Tribolium castaneum: one gene and its partner. The protein of the gene in region 1 purifies or fractionates together with the protein of each later gene. This does not show direct contact. Links are inferred from orthologs where the notes say so. Each region holds a gene or a part of one and is shown in the gene's direction. Other genes may lie near its edges. The genes, in order: iron-sulfur cluster assembly 2 homolog, mitochondrial; putative transferase CAF17 homolog, mitochondrial.

Evidence for each region.
Region 2: the proteins of iron-sulfur cluster assembly 2 homolog, mitochondrial (region 1) and putative transferase CAF17 homolog, mitochondrial purify together in Homo sapiens (co-immunoprecipitation; 4 studies listed by BioGRID and IntAct, with this or other methods). This does not show direct contact. The link is inferred for Tribolium castaneum from reciprocal best matches to the Homo sapiens genes ISCA2 and IBA57.

What each region holds. Positions count from the first base shown.
Region 1 is NC_087396.1:12,845,053-12,847,754, forward strand, and holds iron-sulfur cluster assembly 2 homolog, mitochondrial, read left to right. Parts: upstream 1-1,188; 5' UTR 1,189-1,305; coding exon 1,306-1,571; intron 1,572-1,618; coding exon 1,619-1,796; 3' UTR 1,797-1,915; downstream 1,916-2,702. Other genes in the region: uncharacterized protein Sse, read left to right, coding at 1-96, 142-308; protein FAM136A, read right to left, coding at 378-494, 540-758, 806-892; protein phosphatase 1 regulatory subunit 21, read right to left, coding at 1,923-2,309, 2,355-2,585, 2,637-2,702. UniProt on the Homo sapiens protein: Involved in the maturation of mitochondrial 4Fe-4S proteins functioning late in the iron-sulfur cluster assembly pathway. May be involved in the binding of an intermediate of Fe/S cluster assembly.
Region 2 is NC_087396.1:19,131,971-19,135,552, reverse strand, and holds putative transferase CAF17 homolog, mitochondrial, read left to right. Parts: upstream 1-1,338; 5' UTR 1,339-1,474; exon of another isoform or gene 1,475-1,478; intron 1,479-1,526; 5' UTR 1,527-1,542; coding exon 1,543-2,553; 3' UTR 2,554-2,774; downstream 2,775-3,582. Other genes in the region: uncharacterized protein LOC100142251, read right to left, coding at 2,834-2,899, 2,946-3,077, 3,123-3,367, 3,419-3,561. UniProt on the Homo sapiens protein: Mitochondrial protein involved in the maturation of mitochondrial [4Fe-4S]-proteins in the late stage of the iron-sulfur cluster assembly pathway. Operates in cooperation with ISCA2 in the maturation of [4Fe-4S] proteins.

The sequences.
Region 1 (2,702 bases):
ATATTTTGGCGACTGAATTTTTGAGTTACTGGATACCGTGTTCAAAAGTCCATTGGAAACACCTGGATAAGGCGAAATGGAAGAAAGGCGAAAAAGGTAAACAAAATGTGAAAATCGCACACGGCGTTAATTGTTTTGTAGTAAATTTTTCAAAACAACACTTTGATCCGCCACCCACTTGCCACACTCACGAGCCAGAGTTGTTGAAAGCCCTAAGTGCCGTAAAAAAATCATCAGAGATAAACTTCTACGCAACCCGAGCGGCATGTGTGGCACGGGGAATCCCCGTTAAAATAGCCACAAATTAATTTTTTTAACATGTTTTATTATTCAAGTGTAACTAAAAACAACAACCACTATATATAGTTTGCTCGACCTCACTTATTTTTTCCTAGTTCAGATTTCATTCGTTTTAAAAGCGAGGGCATGTATGCAATTTGTTTATCAACACAGTTTTTGGCACACGTTTCAAACAGCGCTGTATATTTACTAACCTAAAAAACGTAATATATTTTTGCAAGTTTGGCAAATTGTTTTACTTCAGCTTCCGAAGGATTAGGCCCCATTTTCACCCGAATGTCGTCGTTACAGTCCATAACGCACCTTTGTAGCTTATTTTGGAGCTGTTCTAGCTCTCTTTGGACGTAATTCTGGGCATAGTTCACGGACGAGGCGCAGTTTTCGACGCATTTTTGAACACTTTCGAGTGAGATTTCCCGGTTGTCGCAGCATTTCGCAGCGCAGCGATGCATGTCGGCCTGGAAAGCTGAATTTTCCGAATTTGGTCACAAATTATATACAGTACCTGCATTTTGCGCAAATACTCCAAATCGAGCTCGTTGACCATTTTGGTCATTTCTTGCTCAATTCTCTGTCTCTGCTGCTCGACCATTTTTGATTTGTGCGAGAATTCCGGTCTTGTGATAAGAAAAATTAAAAACGTGAATTTTGTGAGGTTATGCTAACCTAACCTAAATGGCACCAACTGTCGCAGATTTACAGGTTACTGTAAAATTGTACTTTGACTTCCGACACCTAGATATCGCTGCCCACATTTTTTTTATTTTTTTGTATAGTTTAAAAAATTTTATAAAATCTGTAATTCACAGCAGAGAATCGAGCAAGAAGTGAGTAAATGACCAAAATAGTCAACGAGCTCGATTTGTATACTGTATAAAATCTGCGACCAAATTCGGAAAATTCAGCTTTCCAGGCCGGCATTTCTAGTAATTTTTGGTTTTGATGCAACTGTTGGCAAGAGCCGCTTAACTGTCAAATTATGGCACTGCCAAAATAATCTAACCTATGAAAATGTCAGGGTTAGTGAGACGGTTCTATCCGTTTAAAATTAATAGTGTGCGTAATTTTTTATCCCGAAATTATTCAAAACCTGTAATTAAACCTTTGGAGCACATAAAACCGGAATTAATTATCACTGACACTTGCGTCGAGCGTTTGAAAAATATCAGTAAAAATTCGGATGAGTTCTTAAGAGTGAGTGTAGATGGGGGCGGTTGCTCGGGCTTCCAGTATAAATTTGACCTAGACTCGAAAATTAATGAAGACGATAAGTGAGTGAGCACCGATTATGTATTTTTAGCTACAAATGATTTTGCAGAATATTTGAAAAAAATGGAGCTAAAGTTGTGATTGATGAAACGTCATTGGACTTTGTTAGAGGAGCGACGGTCGACTACCGGGAAGAACTAATTAAATCTTCCTTCAGGATTGTCAATAACCCGTTAGCTGAGCAAGGGTGTTCCTGTGGGTCGTCTTTTGCTGTCAGACTGGATTAAACAGATTAGTGCAATAACTGTATTAGACTTTTTTGCAAATATGTAAATAAATACAGGTCGATTAAACAAACCGCATAATTTATACAGAGTAAATAATGTAAATAAATTATTAAATTAAAGGAATGTTTACTTTTTGCTCGCAATTTTATGTTTGAGTGCTTGGATTTCGTCGCACTGTTTCGTGATCTTATCATTTTGGGCGGCTATATGTTCAGTCATTGCATCAAGCTGACTCTTGTAATTTTCTATAGTGGTAAGCAACTCTTCATTGCTCTTCTCTAGATTGCCTTCTATTTCCTTGTTTACCACAGTCAGATGTTCTAATCTTGAATATAAGGCTTGATTTTCACCCCACAAAGTTTTGGTTTCTGAGAAGGCCATTTGCTTGGCTTGCAACAATTCGCCCAATTGAGATTCGTAATATTCAGTCAACCGTTCGTTTGATTGTGGTTTGGAACGCAGGACTTCGCATTCAGAGCGCCACCTCTCAGCTTCCTCTTTCCAAAAAGTGACCTAAAATGCACTTTATAGCTTTCCGAATTTTTTGAAGAGAAATACCTCATTCTGGTCTTCACTGGATTTATTAGACGCAACATCAGAATTTAGCACATCCATGTGCTGCTCCTCGACCTTCTTTTCGACTTCATATTTCGCCCTTTTAAGCTTGGCAATGTCCTCTAAATATTTCGTTTCCTTCTGGTGATATTCTTTCTCACAGTTATCTAATCTTTTCTCCAACCATGCGATTCTCTCCTTGCAATCGCTCAGCTCGTACTCCTTATCAGCCATCTACAACACGCCTAAAAATAACCAGCAACAGTAGCAAATATAAATATTTACACTGCTAACAAGTTGGGCATTTTCTAGAATTTTTTTCTGCAACTCCTCGTCCAGGACACTAGTGTC
Region 2 (3,582 bases), about 6.3 Mb from region 1:
GTTAAAATACCTCCCAATCAAACATATTTTTGTTGAACTCAAAAATATTTAACCAAATTCAGAAAAGCTATACCTACCGACACATTTTCTCAACCTAAATCAATTCCTTTCTTGAAATTCTTTTCTCATTGGTGGAAAAACATCATCATCAAAAACATATTTCCGTTAAATCTAGTTATTTTTTAAAAACAGGAAAGCTGCAACGTTTTGTGAATTATATAAATGCTCAGCCCATTATTATAAGGTCACATCTAACAAAGGCGCCAGATAAAAACGTACAGTTTTACTAAAAAAATCGGAAATGAGGTAAATTGTTGTTTGCTCAAATTTTTGCGAAACAAACTATTCTGAAATATTTTTAGGAAACTTTACAGTGTGACGGTGATCTTCATATTGGTCAAGCTTTTCCAATCTAATGCATTCTCCACTTTTGAAGAATTACCTGCTAATAATTTCACAAATGTTGCACATTTGGAATTTGTAGAAGATTTATCGCAAGATTCAGCCAGTAATGTTTCTTGTCGAGTTAATGCAAATAATACTATTTGCCACCTAAGTAAAAAACACGTTGTGTCAATTAACAACAACTTAATGCAGAAATTTAGGAACATTGCGACGCTATCAGTGAGATGGGGCCCACATGATGTTGTGGAAATTGCCGACGATGCATTGAATAATTTAAAAAACATAAAAGAATTGAGTTTGAAAAATTGTTACATCAAATCTCACGTTTTTAAAAATGCGAGTTTGTTGAAAATTTTGTATGTGGCGCAAAGTACGTTTGAAAGTATACAAGAAGACTGTTTTGAAGGTTTACCAAATCTGGAAGAGTTGTGGATTTCTTTAAGCAACGTTGTGATAATTCGTCGAGGCTTTTTTAAAAATCTACCAAACCTAACGGCCTTATTACTTCCCGAAAATGGAATAGAGGGGATAGAGAAAAATGCAATTTCCTACACCAAAAACCTGGCAGTGCTTAATTTGAGTCACAACCGGCTTACGTACCTGCCAGACTGTTTCAAAAGTTTAGCAAAGTTAACCATTCTTTCATTACGCAATAACTTGATAAAATATTTAAACTGGAAAGACTTTCGTGGATTAATTTCCTTGGAGTATTTGGACTTATCCAACAACAAAATGGGTTCGTTTGATGCCAAAATAATTGGGACTTATTTTCCCAACTTGCGGATGCTGAGATTGGATGGAAATGTGGTAACCGTGCAAAAAATTAAACACTTTTCCGATCAACTACAAGAGATGTTCAACCGTTCGGTTGTTGCATATTCAGCACAATAAATAAACAATTTGAACAGCACAGAAACTTTCGATTCAAAAAAAGCGCTTAAAATACTGTCATTGATGACAATTGATCTAACCTCACATATTACGACATTGCATTTTCAAAAAAATTGGCAAAACTACAATCTCGCAAGTGTAGTAATATTACACAAGTGTTTATTTTGTTGAGATTATTGTGGGTACGTGTTTGCGTGCCGAACCATTAGAAATTTAACCAAAGTTTTTAGGTTAGGTCCGTCGAAAATGTTAAAATTGAAACCAATAATATCCCACTTATCTTTGAAACGACTCCTATCAACGTTATCACCGAACGTTTTAGAGCCCCTAAATAACAGGTCACTAATTCGCGTGGCAGGACCGGACGTTTCAAATTTTCTCCAAGGATTAATTACGAACGATATTGAACATTTGAGTTCAGGACCGGGCTGCATGTACACAATGTTCCTAAACAGCGCCGGTCGGATTCTCTACGACGCTATTGTTTACCGCAATTCCGAAAACAACACATATTTGGTGGAATGTGACACCAAATCGGCTGATATTTTGCAAAAACATTTAAAACTGTACAGAGTCAGGCGTAAAATCGACATTACAAGCTTAAGCGATGAGTTAAAAATTTACGCCTTGTTTGACACGAAGAACTTTGACTTGAATTCAAACCAAAAATTGGCAAATCCGCCGCTCGAAACCCCATTTAAAGCCCATAAAGAACTGCTGATTTATCGCGACCCAAGAATCACAAATTTAGGTTTACGGATAATTGCAAAAAGTGACGTTAATGTTCCCGAACAACTTGGTGATAATTTCAATGTCACGCAAAACTCGTCAAGCAAAAACTATCGTTGGCTGCGCTATAGTTTAGGAGTTGGGGAGGGCGTTGAAGATTTGCCTCCAGGAGAGTGTTTTCCGCTTGAATGTAACTGTGATTATTTGCACGGTGTTAGCTTCCATAAAGGCTGTTACGTGGGGCAGGAGTTAACAGCTCGGGTGCATCACACTGGTGTGGTCAGGAAACGGTTAATGCCTCTCCACTTTAGCAAAATACCCACGAAATATCCAGACGAAAAAATCGTCCAAGAAAATGTTAGTTTAGGCAAATTGAGGGGCATTGAAGGGGACGTAGGTTTGGCTTCACTGAGAATAGCGAAAACTTTGGCTTTCAAGGAACTAAAATTGGGAGATGGAGTTGCCGTAACGTCCAGACCTAGCTGGTGGCCCCAGGAAGCACCCAAAGAAAAAATTAAGTGCGCGTAAATTGTTGAAATCAAAGGCGCCTATGATTGGAATTAAGTTGGCAGCATTGAATCAAATTCAAAATGTCAATTCAGACGCTTATTGCCAACATAAAGACATTTTGAATAGAAATTTGTTTCGTTTGTGCCTTAGATGTGTGTTACCTGATTTATTAGTTAATGGAAAGGTGACAAAGAACTGTACTTCTGTAGACTGTACATAAAATAAACCACTGATCTGGATTAAGTTTATTCAGTATCATTCCTAGTCCAGTGTTACAATAATTGAACTTAGTAAAAAATTATTTTGGCGCTATCTGCTTAACCAATTTTTTCTTTTGCAACAACCCTTTGTTGAATTTCTTTTTCTGTAAAAGAGTTGTAAGAAAATACGTCTTGTCAAAGTGGAATTACCTTTTTCTCTGCATGCTTAACGCCTTGAAAAGCTTGATTTCCCTTCAAATGCAGCTTTTCCTCAAATTCTCCTTTTACGTCATCAGTTTTCTCCGCATTTTTCGCATATCTGCGTTTTCCAGCATTTATTACCTAGAAAAGCATTAATCCGAGTTATAAAAAGGTGGAAGAAATTACCTTTTTCGCTTTGCGCATTTTTTTGTCATTCTTTGCGGCTTTAAAGTTATATAATTTGATTCTTAATTCCCTATCTTTCAGTGTAACATTTTCCATTTCTAGCGCAAGTGTAACCGAATCGGAATTTTTGAAGTTGACAAAACCAAATCCTTTTCCGATCCCGGTTTTCCCATCCCTTACAATCCTGACGGAGGCAATGGGGCCACAGGATTCGAATGTTTTCCATAAATCGTCCTCCTCTGCATCTAAATGTAGAAATTTAATAAGGAAAAATCGGAATCAAACAGAATTAATACAGAAGCTTAAATTTCCAACAAAAATGGCTTTATCTTCATCTGGAGATTCCTTCGCGTCACACATACAAACTCTTAAATGATGCTCTTGGAAGAGAACACCGTCTGCTTCTGTTGATTTGATAGCATCGTCTCTGGACTCAAACCTAAAATAATTATTTATTTTA